Ovis aries: one gene and its partners. The protein of the gene in region 3 interacts with the protein of the main gene of each other region in a biochemical or structural test. Links are inferred from orthologs where the notes say so. Each region holds a gene or a part of one and is shown on either strand. Other genes may lie near its edges.

The links.
Region 1: of the proteins of IRAK1 (region 3) and IRAK4, one has a biochemical effect on the other in vitro, tested with the Homo sapiens proteins (2 studies listed by BioGRID). The link is inferred for Ovis aries from reciprocal best matches to the Homo sapiens genes IRAK1 and IRAK4.
Region 2: the proteins of IRAK1 (region 3) and IRF7 form a complex in vitro, tested with the Homo sapiens proteins (2 studies listed by BioGRID, with this or other methods). The link is inferred for Ovis aries from reciprocal best matches to the Homo sapiens genes IRAK1 and IRF7.
Region 4: of the proteins of IRAK1 (region 3) and PELI1, one has a biochemical effect on the other in vitro, tested with the Homo sapiens proteins (5 studies listed by BioGRID and IntAct, with this or other methods). The link is inferred for Ovis aries from reciprocal best matches to the Homo sapiens genes IRAK1 and PELI1.

What each region holds. Positions count from the first base shown.
Region 1 is NC_056056.1:142,992,334-142,996,524, reverse strand, and holds the start of IRAK4 (interleukin-1 receptor-associated kinase 4), read left to right. Parts: upstream 1-1,263; 5' UTR 1,264-1,467; intron 1,468-4,191.
Region 2 is NC_056074.1:47,073,602-47,077,701, reverse strand, and holds the start of IRF7 (interferon regulatory factor 7), read right to left. Parts: upstream 2,929-4,100; 5' UTR 2,865-2,928; intron 2,569-2,864; 5' UTR 2,297-2,568; coding exon 2,277-2,296; intron 2,194-2,276; coding exon 2,031-2,193; intron 1,945-2,030; coding exon 1,737-1,944; intron 1,482-1,736; coding exon 1,423-1,481; intron 1,335-1,422; coding exon 1,157-1,334; intron 875-1,156; coding exon 347-874; intron 275-346; coding exon 156-274; intron 82-155; coding exon 1-81. Other genes in the region: CDHR5 (cadherin-related family member 5), read right to left, coding at 4,059-4,100.
Region 3 is NC_056080.1:80,283,039-80,286,688, forward strand, and holds part of IRAK1 (interleukin-1 receptor-associated kinase 1), read left to right. Parts: coding exon 1-157; intron 158-405; coding exon 406-471; intron 472-1,605; coding exon 1,606-1,842; intron 1,843-2,414; coding exon 2,415-2,826; intron 2,827-3,243; coding exon 3,244-3,387; intron 3,388-3,650.
Region 4 is NC_056056.1:44,146,967-44,151,387, forward strand, and holds the start of PELI1 (E3 ubiquitin-protein ligase pellino homolog 1), read left to right. Parts: upstream 1-1,493; 5' UTR 1,494-1,820; intron 1,821-4,421. UniProt on the Homo sapiens protein: E3 ubiquitin ligase catalyzing the covalent attachment of ubiquitin moieties onto substrate proteins. Involved in the TLR and IL-1 signaling pathways via interaction with the complex containing IRAK kinases and TRAF6.

The DNA of each region.
Region 1 (4,191 bases), on a different chromosome or scaffold from region 3:
ACAATCAATACTGATTATTGAATAAATACAATGACTAGTACAAAATAAGAGCAGTAAGAGTGAAGAGGAAGAAAGACAGGGGTCACTTTTGCCTAGAATAATCAGTCAAGCATAATGCAAGAAGTGGCCACATTTTCAAAACACTTCAGGAGACAGAAATGAGGCAAAGGCATAAACAAACTATGCAACGTGTTAAGAAAAAACTGAACAGCCCAGATACAGAGCAGTAGGAGAAAGTGTTTTCTAGCACAGTTCTGGAAAATATGGCCGGATTAGTGCCAAACTAGGTAAAACACTTAATGCCCTGTCAGGGGCTTAGAATCCATTGAGTGGTTAATCGATGGCCACTGGAGGTGTCTGAGCAGGAAAATAACACAATCCTAAAAGATGTTTTAGTAAGATGACTGATAGTACTAGGCAGGATGAATCTGTTGAACAGTTAGAGAAGATCAAAAGCAACAAGATGTGATCAAGAGCTCAGCTGTAGGAACAAGATAGGAAAACATTCTAAGCTAGTGGCATAGGAGAACAATTTGAGAATACAACGATGAGGGAATTACGGCCAAGCATCCTAGTAAGAGTGGAACCGTGCTGAAGGGCAGCCAAGGAACCCACACAGAGTCGAGTTTCCATGCCACAGATGTGTCGATAAGCCTGCCGGGCGGACATGGAGAGGGCAGTTTGGCTGACCCAAGGCTTGGGAATTTGGGTTGTGGCTAAGGGCAGAGTCTAGCAGGATGTTAAAAAAGGACAGTAGCTCCTCCTGTTCCTTCCACCGCCAACGCTCCACCTAATTCACTCTTACTTCCTACTTCTGCCACCAACCAGCAGGACTGACTCCTGCAGCTTAGACTTCAGGCGCTTTCCAAAGCACCCCCGACACAGCCATTGGCTCCACCGGCGTCTTCTCCACCCACATCCCCGCCTAACTCAAGGCGCGATACTAGCTCACATCGCGCTCCTCTTGGGGACAGAGCGTCAGGGTCTCAATGCCGATACTGTCATCGCCCCCTGCACAAGCCCACGTGGCGCCAAGAAGCTCAGCCCAGTCTACCTCAAGTCCAGCTGAAGGGTTTCCTCCGCACCTCGCCGTGCGCATGCCCGGAAGCCATAAACTAGCTAGGCTCCGACAGAAGAGTATTTAAAGGGACAGGCTCCTACTTAAAGAAACGCCTCTCTGGAATTTTTGACTCAGTGAAGCGGCGAGGGGGAAGCGCAAAGAGGAAGGGGGCGGAGAGGGGCGGGGGCGGGACCTGACGGATTGGGCACGCCCCGGCCCTTCGTAGTGCCTGGGTCCTGAGGTCGCTGGCTCAGCCCTGCGGCGCCCCGTGCGCCCCTGCGCCCCGCGCCCGGGCAGGTAAGGGGTTCCGGACTTGCGCGCCACCTTCTCCGCGAAGTGTCCGAGGTCTGCGCCCTGGCCTCAGGGTTGTGGAGGGACTGCTCGGAAGGAAAATCCCTTCAGCGCACGTGAGAAAAGTTAGAGGGGAAGTAGGTTGCGTGGGCAGCGCCTGCTCCAGGGTAAAGATTTGGGTGGGTCCCTAGGGATTGGAAAATTGGTGGGTCCTCCATTGGAGGACCGTGGGGCGAAGAGAAGCGTCACTCGGTGGTCGGACCCCGCCTCGAGTTTCTCAACTCCCGAGCTATGTGTTCCGAGAACCCTGTTTACGAAATGAAATCTCTTTTCCTCAGAACCAGGAAGTAGGACCAGCACCCAACAAAGATGCTGACCGCGTGGAAAGCATTCTAAACCCCCCCCCCCAAAATTCTAATTAGCTAGTTTCTCAGGCTTCCAGGAAATTAGAAAGTGGAGCGGCATTGTCAGTACGTTATCAGATGGGGAAAGGGTACCGACAGCCTGGAAACGAGAGGGAGCCAAGGGATGAAAAGCAACCTCAGAAAGCATTTTAGCCATTTAGGATGGGATGCTGGGGAAGATTGAAGGCAAAAGAAGGGGTGGCAGAGGAACAGATGATTGGATAGCATCACCGACTCACTGGACATGAATTTGAGCAAATTCCCAGAGATAGTGGAGGATAGAGGAGCCTGGGGGGCTATTTGGGGTCGCAAAGAGTAGGACGGGACTTAGCAACTGAACAAGTGCCTCAAAAACGTCTCTGCCTTAAGAGCTGAGAGCAGAGGATATTCAGATTTGCCTTTTCCCTTTCTGAGGGTAATCCTTGACGAGACCTGTCAGAAAGTTAAGATTTCTTTTTACTTTTGTTTGCGTGCTAAACGTTCATTTGACGTTTGCTTACCCCTGTGCAAACAGAAATCCTGAACTTCCAGGCTAAACATGCTCCTTTCACAGTCTTCTCCATCTTATTGTAAAGGTCAGGAAGGGGGCGGAGAGGGCCGGAACCACGGGCGTCTTCTCCACCCCCATCCCCGCCTAACTCAAGGCGCGATACTAACATACATCGCGCTCCTCTTGGGTACAGACGGTCAGGGCCCTTTCACAGTCTTCTCCATCTTATTGTAAAGGTCAGGAAGCTTGTTCAAGCCAGAAACCTTGGTGCCAACTTGTCACTCTTCATAGCAGCATACAGGATTCTGTGTGATTTCTGAGGTTTCTACCTCAGAAAATATCCATCATCTTAGGAATTCTACCTTCTTTACTACCACTCTGATGTAAGCCACAAGCACCTCCCACCTGGATTATTGATGTACTTAATTAATCTCTTCCTGCTTTTCTGCCCTCATTTTAATATACTTTATTCAACAATAATTTAAACAGAGATTAAACAACAATTATTTTCCACAGCAGTCCCCGATGTCCTTTTAAGTATAGAGCACATCTGTCCTCTTCTCAAAATCTCCCCTGTCTTCTCATCTCCCTCAGAAGATGAAAATGAAGTAGGACCTTAGGGGACCTGGCCCCGTTACTGCTCCCTTCTACTCTGCTTTCCTGCTCCCTCTTCTCCAGTCTTACTGTTTTCTTGTGGTTCCTCAGTGAGCCCATTCCAGACCCTTATATTCTCTATTCCTTTTGCCCGGAAACTTACCACAGATATCCCAGTGGCTAGCTTTCTCATTCCCTTAAACCTTTAATCCCATGGCACCTTATTGAGGCCAACTCTGAGTATTCTATTTAAAATTAAAACCCCTTCTCAGTTATTTTTTTTTCCTTTTCATTTGGCATCATATAAAGACTTCCCAGTGGTACGAGTGGTAAAGGACCCACCTGTTAAATGCAGGAGACATAAGAGACTAGGGTTCCGTCCCTGAGTTGGGAAGATCCCCTGGAGAAGGAAGTGGCAATCCACTCCAGTATCCTTGCCTGGAATATCCCATGGACAGAGGAGCCTGGTGGGCTACAGTCCATAGGGTCACAAAAGAGTCGGACATGACTGTAGCAACTTAACACAGCACAGTGTACTGTAGAGTAAATGCTTACTACCCATCTTCATCTGTTAGAATATAAGCACTCTTGCCTGGAAAATCCCATGGACAGAGGAGCATGATAGGCTCCTACAGTCCATGGGTCACAAAGAGTCGGACACAACTGAGTGACTTCACTCACTCCATGAATTCAGTTAATTTTTTTTTCTTATTTTCCTAATGCTTTATCTCCAGGGACCTGGATCAATATCCAGCACAAAATAGAGTCTCAGTAAATATTCATGAATGAATAATATTTTGGTTTTTAAAAAATATATCCAAAATGTTTCAAATTACTTACCATTAAGTTAAATTGATTTTTGAGGATGGTATTAATATATTGTGTTTAATTTATGGCATATTAGCAAACATCCCAGTTTGAGAAGGGCAGTCCTGTATAACCTATTAGGTCTAGAAGGTGTCACAGGCTTTTGTTCATAATGATGGTGTTGGGTTGCCCAAAAACGGACAACCACTTTTGATCTAGGTAAATGGTTATCTACAATACTTTACTGAAGAAAGCATGGGAGTGAATAATGTATTTTAGGAAGATTATAAGCATATTAAGGATACTATGCTTAGTAACATGACTGTCACCATGAAAAGCTTGGCTGTGTTCTCAGACCTCTTATTTCCACTTCCTCTCCTTCAGTTGCCTTTCACTGCTGTTTTGAAATTGAGCTTAAATAAAACTCTGCACATTTCTTTTTTTAAAATGTGACATAAGAATAACTTCTGCCTTGCAATAATCATCACTATATTTTCTCTGATCACTTATTATTGATAGAATTAGGCATCTTTTGATTTTTAATC
Region 2 (4,100 bases), on a different chromosome or scaffold from region 3:
GCTGAGGCTGCCACTGTCCAGGGAGGACACACCTTCGCGTTGCACAGCCTCCAGGTACGCCCGGCACAGCCACGGCTCCAGCTGCAGGGAGGGTGCTGTCAGGCCGGGTGGGGGCTCTGTGCAGCCTCCCCCCGGCCGGGGACCTGGCCCCTCACCTTCACCAGGACCAGGCTCTTCTCCTTGGGCCTCCCCACTGATAGGTCCTGCCCGAAGCCCAGGTAGATGGTGTAGTGCGGGGAGCTGCGGCGCTGCCGGGCCCGGAACTCCACCAGTTCTGTGGAGCAGGGCTCTGGTGAGGGGGCGGGGCACGGAGGGCCCACAGCCCAAGGGCAGGGGTGTCACTGACCTTGGAAGAAGGTGCCGAAGTCAAAGATGGGCGTGTCACAGTCCCGGGGCAGCAGGCGAGCGGGGCTGGAGGCGCTGGCTGAGCCCAGGGGGCCCCCCACCTCCCAGTAGACTTTGCACTTGCCCAGGCGCCGGGCCCACAGCCGCGGCCCCCGGAGCTCCAGCTGCAGGCCGGGGCCCACGTGCTGAAGCAGCTTCTCTGTGTAGTGGAGCTGCTTCTGGTCGGGCAGCTCGGCGGGGCTGGGGAAGGCGACCTGCTGGGGCCCCAGAGCCTCTCCAGCTACGCCGGGAGGACCGTACAGGAGCACACAGCTTGGACGCCCCACCACCTCCTGCAGCACTGTCCGGCCTTTATACAGGATGGTCAAGTCCAGGGCCCCTAGGCTGGGCTCTGGCTGCAGACCAAGCTGTGAGCAGCCAGGGCCAGCCAGGGGCGGCGCCCCTGCCGTCGGCGCGCAGGCACTGGCAGAGGCTCCCACGTGCGGCTCCGCCTCTGGGAGCTGCCAGGGCTCTGGGGGTGGGCCTGCGTCTGGAAAGGAAGAGAAGCCTGAGCTGACACCTGGGCCCCCAGGTCCTCCCTTTGCCAAATGTTCCCTGGCTCCTCGGGCTGTGGCCTGAGGCTGGAGGCACCACCTCTGTGGCAAGTATAGCTCTCAAGCAGAGGGCTCTGGGCCTGCGGAGGCCCAGCTATACTGGCCCAGCTGTGACCAGCACCATCCCTGCCAAGCACCCCCTCCCCTGGGCTGCACTCTGCTGTCTTGCCTGTCCCTGCAGGGTAGAGCACTCCCCACCCCCTGCAAGAGGCCCTCACCAGGAGCCTCTGGGGAGATCAGATCCAGCAGATGATCCTCCAAGCAGCTCTGCTGTAGAGCCTGGATCAAGATGTCCCCAGCATCTCCAGCGAGGCTTGGGGGGCAGGGTTCAGGGTTCAGCCGGTGCCCCAGGCACTCACCAGTATCTGCTGCCAGGCATAGCCCCGGGAGCCCGCCCTGCAGAAGAGGACAGCGCCAGCATAAAGGAGCTGCCCCCAGGCCCAGAGAGGGAGCGGCCTCAACCCCGGACGCAGAGCGGCCTTACCCTTGCAGGTGGGGCATCTTCTAGGGCCTCGTCCTCCCCCTGGTCAAAGCCTAGGCCTTCTGGGGGAGAATTAGGGTTGGGGAAACGCTGAAGTGAGGCGCCTGGATGTCAACGCCCCCTTGCCCCCGGAAGCTGGTCTGCGCTTCCCCTTGGAGCCCCAGCGGGCTCCCTTCACTCCAGCGCTGCCACCCCCCCTAACTGGCACCAGCTTCTCCCATACCAGTTTCTAAAACCTAAAATCTGACTTAGCAGCTACTCCCAGGACACAGCACAGTCCCCCTGCCGGCAGCACCCCAAACCCCGGCCTTCCTCACCTCGGCACCCCGGCTCAGAGCTGATCTTGTACACCTTATGAGGGTCTGTAGGGTCCCCCGAGTTGTCTTCCAACATCACGAAGCGCTGCGTGCTGTGCAGAGCGCAGCGGAAGTTGGTTTTCCAGGAGGCCCGCAGCGCACTCTCAGGGATCGGCCGGGCACCTCCACCGCTGCGGGGCGGCCACCTGCCTCGGGCCACGGCCCAGGCCTGAGAAAGACAGAGTGTAGAGCACGTGGCCTGGACTTGCGAACCTGGGCCGGCCCTCCCCAGCCCGGGCAGAACTGGGGTCTCACCTTAAAAATGCGCGAATCGGCTTCACCCAGGTCCTTCCGCGCGAAATGCTTCCAGGGTACGCGGAAGCGCGTTCGGGCCGCGTCCAGCCACCGTAGCCCCTCATAGCGGCCGCTGCTGACCTCGCCCAGAAGCCAGTCTCCGAAGAGCACGCGCGGGGTTCCCCTGCGGGCGGAGCAGCCAGGTGTCAGGGCGCAAGGGGGCCGCCGGGGGCGTGGGGCCCGCACCGGGCAGGGAGGCGGGCTCACCGGTCTGGAGCCTCGGCCATTGGTCCCTCCGCAAAGGCTGGGCCTGGAGACAGTGGCACGCCCTCCGCGCAGAGGGCTGGGGTCTCGGGGCGGTCGGGGGTTGGCGCAGGAGAGGAAGGTTGTCTGTGAGTCTCCACAGCTAGTCCCGGGTGTTGGGGGGTCACAGATGCGGGCTTCCAGTCACGGCGTTGCGGAGGTGAGTCCTGGCCAAGACGGCGCTGGATGTGGCTACAGACGCGGCCGGTGCGCGCACGACGCGTCACAGGTTTTGAGCCGGCGTCCGGGCTGGGCCCTACGGGGGCGCGACGGGAACGGCCGCAGGAAAACGAAACCCGGCGTTGCGGAAAAACGAAACCTAACCCGCCACGCCCCGCGCGTCACCGCCACCTCCCCGTCCAGGTCCCCGAGTTCCAGACCCGGGCCCCGCGCCGTCATCCGTGCAGCCCGCCCCGCCTGGTCACTGCTCTGCGAAGCGCGTCCCGGACCCGCGCCTTCCGCCGAGCTCCCTGGTCACTGCTCCGAGAATCGACCCCGGAGTCCGACGAGGCCTCACACTCGTGTTCTTCCCGGGTTGGGCCTCCCCAGTACCTGGCGCAGGTTCGGGCCGCGTCCAGCCTCAGGACGCGGAGTCACTCGTGGGGAGATTGATCCCCTGGGGCTCGCGAGCAACCGCTTTTATGGTGGCGGGGGCGGGGCGGGGCCGGGGGCGGGGCCGGGCCGGGGCGGAGCTCCAGGTGCCGGGGAGGGAGTCACGTGCGCCTGGAGCGGAGCCGAGCGCAGGTGCGCAGGACCCGCTCTTGGGCCGCGGCGGGAGGCGGCACCGGGGTCCTGGCAACCCTGGACCCAGCCCCGATGCGGCCCAGCCGCTCCCCTCGCTCACCCAGCGCAGCGGGGCCTGGGGCCAGCAACCAGCGTCCCGGGAGAGGCCGTGGGATAAGCCGAGGGTTCCAGAAACAAAACCTGGCGCATCGCGGAGCGGAAGAGCGGGCGATGGGTGCGTGGGAGGGGCTGCGGCCGCGCTCTTTGGATTCTTAACCAGTGACAGTTCCTCAGGCAATAATATTCAAATACTGTCGAGATTAAAATACTTGGGAAGGGATGGGAAAACACCGGCGACCCGGGAAGAACGGTAGTGGTGCTGGGGGGTCGGAAGTCTTGCCTGAGGGCCGCCCCGAGGAAGCCAGTGGAGGGGGTTCGGGCCCCAGCTTCGTGACTCTGGGTTCCGTCCGTCCATAGCCTCTGTTCCGCGCACCCACCAGCCCCACGTGCCGCACTAGGCTCGTGGCCACCGTCGTTCTGGGCCACACCCCCCGCCGCCAATCAGTCCAGCCACCTGGACCGGGTGCCTCCGCGAGAGCCCCAGAGCGCTTACTGCCCTCCCTGCGGCCCACAGGGGCAGCAGTGTGACCCTCGGGGCGGTCCCGGGGCCCACGCCCTCCCACACGAGTCCCGGAGGGGGGCTTCTGGCCAAGTGGCTCCTCAGCTTCCCCCAGACGAAGAATCTCCATGTCGAGGCGGCCGCGGTCAGACCAGGAGAGGAACTGCCTGGCCACCAGCTGGCACCAACCCTGGGAAGCCCCTCGCGCAGCAGGTGGTTTCCGGGAAACGGCGCCGAGAGCTCAAAGCAGTGCCCAGACCGCCCGCCCCTCGCGGCTCCCACAGCTCCCCTGGCGGCCAGCAGACGTCCCCACAGAACCGAAAATGTTATTTTATTCTGCGCCGTGGAGTGTGGGGACAGCCACCAAGCCGACTCTCGGGGTCCCGACTCCGGGGGACGCGGCATTAGAAGTGGATGGAGTCGGTACCAAGCGCGTCCTGGGCATC
Region 3 (3,650 bases):
CCTGGCCCGTCTCAGCCGGTTTACAGGGGCCAACCCCGGCCAGAGCAGTAGTGTGGCCCGGACTCGGACGGTGCGTGGCACCCTGGCCTACCTGCCTGAGGAGTACGTGAAGACCGGGAGGCTGGCTGTGGACACCGACACCTTCAGCTTTGGCGTGGTGAGCTGCGGGGCCCTCGACTGGCCTGGGGGTGGGGGGCTGCAGCCCTCGGAGAATCCTCCAGCAGGCCTGACCAGCTTCAGATCCCAGGACCCGTCTTCCCCAGCTCGGGCGCCCTGCGCGGCTCCACACCTTCATGTCTGTCGTTTTCCATTCCTCTCCTCCACGTGGGCCCTCCAGACCCCCTGAGCTTGAGTCCCACGTGCAGTTTCTCAGCGGCCCCAGTCTGCAGCCTGCTCTCTCTGCAGGTGCTGCTGGAGACCTTGGCCGGCCAGAGGGCCGTGAGGATGCATGGCACCCAGCCCAAGTATCTGGTGAGCCTCCTCCCGAGGCAGGTGGGGAGAGAGAGAGGGAGGGAGGAACAATCCGGAACGTGGGGCTGCCAGCCCAGCCTCTGCTGACTCATTGTTGAGAGTAGGCAGGGCCCCAGACAGTTGCATCTGCCTGGCTGGGGACAAACCTCTCTGTCCCCGGCAAGTACCACAGGCCCTTCCAGACCCCACCTAGGTTTGGCGAGGTTGGGGGGGTGGTCAGGGTGGGGGGTTGCAGCCCGATCACAGTGGAAAACAGAATCAGGGGACCTGGGAGAAGCAATGGATGGGAATCGGACCACGTCCCCCCTCACCCCAGATGCCTTCTCTGGGTTTTACGGGGCAGGTCTATTCCTCCGCAGACTGACCCAGAGCCCAAAATCCAGCTCCTCTCTGCTTAGTCAGCAGGATCCTTCACACTGTATAAGCCGGTGTGTTGCCCGGGCTCGGGGCTGTTTCCATCCATTCCCGGGTCTCGAAGGGATCTCTGCCAGAGCCGGGCACCAAATAGATCTGCACTCGGGCCCATCGTCAACACCGCAGTGGCGCAGCATGCCAGACCCCACAGGGTGCCTGCCACGGCTTCTCTGGGCAACCACCAAAAAGCTCTTTTAGAACTGTGAGGAGGTGGTGGAACCCCTTTACCCCCGCCATGCTTGGGATGAAGGCCCAGACCCTTGACGTGGTTGCCAGCTTGCTGTCTGTCCTCCAGACCTGGCGGCTCCCTGTTCCTCTGCCTGAAAGGCCACGCCCCGCACCCCCCCCCTGACCCCAGGGTCTGCTCCTGGTCCTTCCTGTCTGGTCCTGTCCCTCCCCATCTCCGTGGGGCTCTCCCCTCTGAGCCCTGCCCTCTCTGGCTAGTTGCTGTCTTTTGATCAGAGCCCGAGTGTCACTTGCTTGGGCCCCCCCATCAAAACCCCTGGGGAGGCCTCCCTGCTGTGGTTTCCCCTGGTTTTCGAAGCATATCGACGTCTCTCCCCTCTCAGGAAGTCAGCTCTGTGAAAGCCAGCCCAGGTGCTGGGCGTGTGGCTGGATCCCGGGGGCCCAAGTCAGCGCTGAGCATATGCAGATGAGGGCCGGGGATGGCAGCGCAAGGCACGGCCCACGGGGGCCAGACTCACGTTGCATGTCCCACAGAAAGACTTGGTTGAAGAGGAGGCAGAGGAGGCCGGGGTGACCCTGAAGGGCACCCAGACCGCAGTCCAAGGTGGGCCAGCCGCAGACACGTGGGCCGCCCCAGTTGCCGCCCAGATCTACAAGAAGCACCTGGACCCCAGGCCAGGGCCATGCCCACCAGAACTGGGCCTGGCCCTGGGCCAGCTGGCTTGCTGCTGCCTGCACCGCCGGGCCAAGAGGAGACCCCCGATGACCCAGGTAGTCCTGTGAGCTGGGGGTATGGGAAGTGCTTGAGATGCCAGTCTCCACATGTTGCTCAACTGCCCTTTGGTTTGGCTTGAACCCCCGCTGAACCCAGCCAGGTACAGAGAGGGAGGCGATCGGCTTTTTACTGCGCCCCCTTCTGGGTGCCTTGCGCCACTGCATCTGCCTTTTTTGTGTCCCTTCCACCTCTTTGTCTCTCTTTTATTTATTTATTTTAATTGGAGGCTAATTACTTTACAATATTGTGGTGGTTTTTGCCATACATTCAACATGAATCAGCTGTGGGTGTACTTGTGTTCCCCATCCTGAACAACTCCCCCCACCACGTCCCTCCCCATCCTATCCCTCATTTGTCTCTCTTGAGAAAAGAAAGAAGCATCATTGAGGGCATCAAGGCAACAAGGTTTGCTTTCTCAAAGACAAAGAGAAGCTGTTCTCAGTCCTTAGCTTTAGTGACAACGATTCTCTTCTCTGGCCCTGACCTGGAGCTGCCCTGCAGTTCCACCACCCTCTGTGAGGACCTGGACAGGGCCACTCACCCTGAGAGCCCCGGTCCCTCCCTGCAGGTGTACCAGACACTGGAGGAGCTGCAGGTGGTGGTGGCAGGGCCATGCCTGGAGCCAGAGGCTGCCAGCCACAGCCCCCCTTCCCCGCAAGAGAACTCCTACGTGTCCACCAGCGGGAGCGCCCTGAGCCGTGCCAGCCCCTGGCAGCCCCTGGCGGTGCCCTCGGGGGCCAAGGCCCAGGCTACAGACTGGCCGCACAAAGGTGCCAACCAGCCCGTGGAGAGTGACGAGAGCATGTCTGACCTCTCTGCTGCCCTGCACTCCTGGCATCTGAGCCCCAGCTGCCCTGCGGGCCCAGGGGCCCCCAGCTGGGTGCCAGCACCCCTCGGGCAGGCTGCCTGCACCCAGGGGGGTGCCGCCCGAGAGTCGAGCTGGGGGAGCGGCCCGGGTCTCCAGCCTACAGCTGTGGAAGGTACCAGCAGGGGAACCAAAGGCCTCCTTTCCGGGCAAACCCCATCCTCCCGACCCCAGCCTTCTGGGAGGAGAGACCCAGGACCCGCCATGAAGCTCCATCTGTCCTTAGCAAGTTGCAGGCTGCCGTCTTGGGTTGGGCTGCTCGCCTGACCCCAGGAAGGTCCAAAGAAGGACCATCCCGGGCCATCTTGTCTCACTGGGCCATGCCCCCAGCTGGCTGAGGATAGGCCAGGAGTAAGGCAGGCCCAGTCCATGACTAGGCTCCAGGCCTTGCCCACAGACAGAGCGCTCAGGACCTCTGTCCTTTGAGAGGGCAGGGAGGGAACTAGGCTGGGGATGGGGAAGGCTCGCGAGGCCAGCAATGAGTGTCAGCAGGGAGTTCCCAGAGGCTCAGGGGGTCCTCTCTCCACCCCAGGACCCCTCCTGGGCAGCTCCACATCCTCGCAGCCCCCGCAGATCGTGATCAATCCGGCGCGACGGAAGATGCTGCAGAAGCTGGCATTGTATGAGGACGGTGTCCTAGACAGCCTGCAGCTGCTCTCGTCCAGCTCTCTCCCAGGTACCCTCCAAGAACAGTGGCCTTTGAGAAGTCATGTGCCCTGGGCACAGCCCGGTCCTGTCCTGTCCCACCTCCCTGTCCTGCCAATACTCCCCCTCCCCGTAGTCCAGGATTGCCCGTGCCCGTACTTCCAAAACATACGAAGCCCCTGCTGGGCAGGTTCCATTCAAAGAAATGCTGCTGAAGAATGGAAACCACTAAGTCCAGAGAGCGCCCCAGGAGCAAGGACTAGGGCAGCCCCACTGTCGGCTAACCGACTGGCA
Region 4 (4,421 bases), on a different chromosome or scaffold from region 3:
TTTTCTACTAAGGTATTTATTGCAGTTTGTTTATTTACCTGGCTCTTCCTCTGCACAATAAGCACTTTGAAAATAATAAATATTTCTTTTATGCTCCTGTATCTCTATTTCTGGGAACTGAAGAAGTACCTGAGACATACTATACTCAATAACTGTTTTTTGAATATTAATCATGGGGTCTGCAAACACAAGGATCCTTGACCTTGAAACTCTCTACCTGAAAACCGCAGCTTTTCCTGTGTTTCTGATTTCTAAACGCTAGTCCTTTTCTTCCAGAGTATGGGGTTCTAGGTAGGCAGAGAAGGAAAACAAAAGATCTTGGGATAGGTTGCCTTTAGTTCTCTGGAATCCAGTAACATGTCCTGCCTTGCACCACCCTCGTCCACCATCTCTTCACACCTGGCTGTCCCACATGGGCGTAGACTTAGCTGACCAGCCCCAAAGCATACTCAGACCTTGGTTCAGACTTCTCTTATTGCCAACTGAAAGTTGGTCAATGTACGTACAGCAAACAATTTTCAACTTTCCACTTATCTTTTGAACTTCTACTTTATAAAATTTGTATTTCTTGAAAATCGTAGGCCTTAAAATTTAAGAAATTTTTTAACATGGATGAAGTAAGATACAGTGATCTTAACCTTGAGCTTTACCTTTGCTGGCCTTAAAGTTGGATGTGACTGCGTGAAGAAATGATGGGAATCTGACAGTGGTGATGCTCCTAACCCTTTTATAACGTAATTAATTAAGATATCGGAAGCAACTGGTGGCTCAGATGGTAAAGAATCTGCAATGCAGAAGCCTTGGGTTCCACCTCCGGGTCAGGAAGATCCCCTGGAGAAGGGACAGGCTACCCAATCCAGTATTCTTGCCTGGAGAATCCCAAGGAGCCTGAAGGGGGCTACAGTCCTTGGGGTCACAAAGAATCCGACATGACTGAACAACTAACACCTTTCTACAAGTCTTAGGTTAAACAACAAACAAACAAAGAACCTTAAATTTAAGGCAGAGAGGATACATTTGCGGGAAGGGAGGGAAATGGGTATTTGTGATCCTGAATTTATGGGATAAAATTAAGCAGCAGGGAAGACCGAGATATGGTGAGGAAGTCAGATTTCACTGGGCAGTTGGCGTGATGAGTCTAGAAGCTGGGGGTGGAGCGAAGTTAAAGGACTAGCCAAAAGTGGGATCCTTAACAGTACCATAACACAAGGAGGGCCTTGTTCAGTCAGCAGCCTCGCTTAACACGTTCCCTTCCTTAGTGTGTCGGTGACCATAGTAACAGTAGGGCCGAGCCTCCCTCCCGAGCATGCGCACTGCAGAGCGAACGCAGACGCGTCCTCAACAACAATGTACAGCTTTTTTCTTGAGGAGAACTACAACTCCCAAGAGACCGCTCGGCGCCGCCGCACCGCCTCCCTCTGTGGCCCTGCCCTGTCCCCTCCCTCCAGTCCCGCCCCCCCGCTAGTCCCCTCCCCTCCCTCCGAGCGTGGGTCAGAGACCCAGAGGCGGTGGAACCGTCGGGGGGCGCCGCCGCCGCCGCCGCCTCCAGCAGCAGCAGCAGCCTCGCCGCGCGTTCGGATTTGCCTCGAGCCCTCCTGGAGCGCATCACAAGGCGGATCCCGCGGCTCTTCCTCCGCCCGCGGCTTCTCCAGCGTTCGGCTCCGCGGCCAACTTCCCCTCGTTGGGCTCGGCCGGCTGGCGAACAAGGCGGCGGCGGAACGCCGGGCTGTCTGCTCGCGCTGCCCGCGCACGCACACTTCTCCCCCCTCGCTCCGTGTCTCGGGGCCGTGCTGGGAATTCCGGCCACCAGCAATTGTCCGGTGAGTGTGGCCGCAGGAGGGGTCGCGGCGGGGCCGCCGAGGGGTGCGGGCCAGGCAGGCGCGCAACTTCCTCAGCGGCTTACCGGGGCGGCCGGCCGGCCGGCTCTCCCCGCCCGCCTGCGCGCCCCCGCGCCGGAGGCGGCCGGGAGCGGAGTTTGCGGCGCCGGCATCCCGCGCCCTCGCAGGAGGAAGCGCCTTTGTCAGGAGCCTGCCCGGCGCGCCCTCCCCCTCTGCCTGGGAGCGGGCGCGAGGGTGGCCAAGTCCGAGCCCCGCGCCCGGGGTAGGGTCGCCAGCTGCCGGAGGGGAGCTCCGCGGGGGCTGGGAGCGAGACCGAAACCAAAGGGAAACAAAAGGGGTGGTGGGCTTTTCTTTTGTTTGTGCGAAACTGATAACTTCTTTTTCCTTTCCTTACATAACACAGACTTCCAAGTTAGTCATTCTTTTTATTATGATTATTGTCATCATCTCTGCGTGTCCCTCGCGTTTCCTTTCATCTCTGGATCACAGAGCACTTAAAAACATTAATTAATTACACCTCCGGGGCCCCGACGAAACAAGTTAATAAGCCCGTTTCTGTAAGTGGGTAAACTGAGGTTCAGAAGAGCTTGCTCCTCCACCGCACCTGGTGTCTGAAGACCTGAAAGCATTTATGAGTAAGAACTCGTTCTCCAGTGCCCCGTGGAAAAGTTAAAGATGTTCCTTTTACGTATAGGCTAACTAAAGTCTAAAAGAGGTCGGGGTACTTGTTAGGTAGTTCAAACCATAACTCTTCTTACATAGTGTTTGAATTTTAAAACCTCAAAAGTCTCTTGAAAAATGCCCGGAGTGGGGAAAATACTGTGATCATAAACTCACCCATCTAGTTTTGGTTTTTGTACATGTAGGTTTCTTACAAGGCAGACTAGCAGGGATGGGGGATGGGGGTGGGAGGACAGACTTTTTAACGTAGGCTTCACAGATTTTAATCACTGCACACAAGGAAATGTGTCTTGGTTTTAATAGCACCAACAGCTTTCCCATCGTTTAGTCATCAGATAATTGAGTGAGCGCTTTATCCATAAGGTGCTGGTTGTGCCAAGAACTGAAGCTTTAAATATACGAAAAGGTCATCTATTTGTTTTGGTTCAAAGACGGTGTACTTCTCTTAGTCTGCAGAATGTTATTTTTTCACAGCAGCTGATCTTTTGTTTAAGAACTGGCTTTGTCTTTTTCTACATTGTGTATGTGTTACCTTAATTGAGCAGAAAGATTAGAGTGTTTTTGTTGTTATTTACTTTTCATAGTAGTGTGAATTTAAATTTTTGAATTGTGGAGAAGGTTCAGTTTCTCCAGTTCTGGTTTCAGTTTATGGCGTTTTCTTTGTAACTAACAAAGAGAAAATGTTTTCTCAGAGTGATCAGATTTATATCTTTCAAAACATTGTCCGTCTTGTACAAATACAGCATATAAATCCCTTATGTTTTTTACTCGCACCAACAACCTCTTGTGGAGGAAGATAATTCTGAAGACAAGTTTATTTTGGTAGTTGACCCAAACTAGAAGGTAGTGCAAATTTAAATCAAGCATCATTTCTACTAGTTATTTCCTGAGGTGAATAATGATCAGAACTGTAATAACAAGACTTTTTCTTATCTGCAATTCTCTTGAATTTAATTTTGTATTTTATAGTTGCCCCTAGATTTTAGATTCTGGTGATTCCATCAGAAAAGGGAAAGATGTTCTTATTTTGATATTTCCCCCCAGTCTTCTAACCTGTTCTCTTTCTGTTCTCTTTCTGTAGTATCTTGAAAGAGATCTTGGCTTTAAAACAGACAGTTGGAAAATAGAACAGTTAAGTGTATGGAAAGATGCATGTAGTGAAGTGCTTATAATGCTAAATCTAATAAATTTAAGACTTTTAAAGAGAAAACTGTCACCTGGATTTTTATTAATAATACAGAAGTGCTGTCATATAATAATAGTGGTATTTATTGACTTTAAAAAAGAAAAAGAGATCCTGGGAATTGTCTCTTTGTGGAAGATTTGGGGGCAGGGAGAAATCTGTGCTCTCAATATCTTCATTGAAGTGCCCTTACAGTTGGTTAAGTTGAACTTTCTCTGCAGCGTTTACAAACCAGATTTACCAAAGGCATTTATTTGCTTTAAGAAAGCTACTAACACAATGTCTGCTCAGTCACTGGAGTCCAAAGGCAGCAGTTAGTGTTGACCGTCAAAAGGCTGGCATTGCAGGTTTTCCTAGTTTCTTTGGAACCCCTTAAAGGAAATGACTGAAAAGTACAGGGAAGGGAACTGAGTCTAGTATGCTAAATGCTGCTGAGCCAAGTTTCAAGGGGAAGCCTAAATATGCTTCCATCTGTCTTTGTTTCACCTTCCTTTCAGGTTGTCAAAATATCACTTCTATATGAAGAGTTCTGTGAATTCAGAATATGCCTTATTGTGGTTGTCCAGTAGGTCAGATGATAAGGACTGTAGTAGTCATGCTCTGTGAAGAACTGTTTTCAGACAGAAGCTTCTGTAGCTAAGAAGAGATTTTAATCTGGAAGACTTTGAACACTAACATTCTCACATAATATGCCTTATCATGGCACATCAGTAGAGACC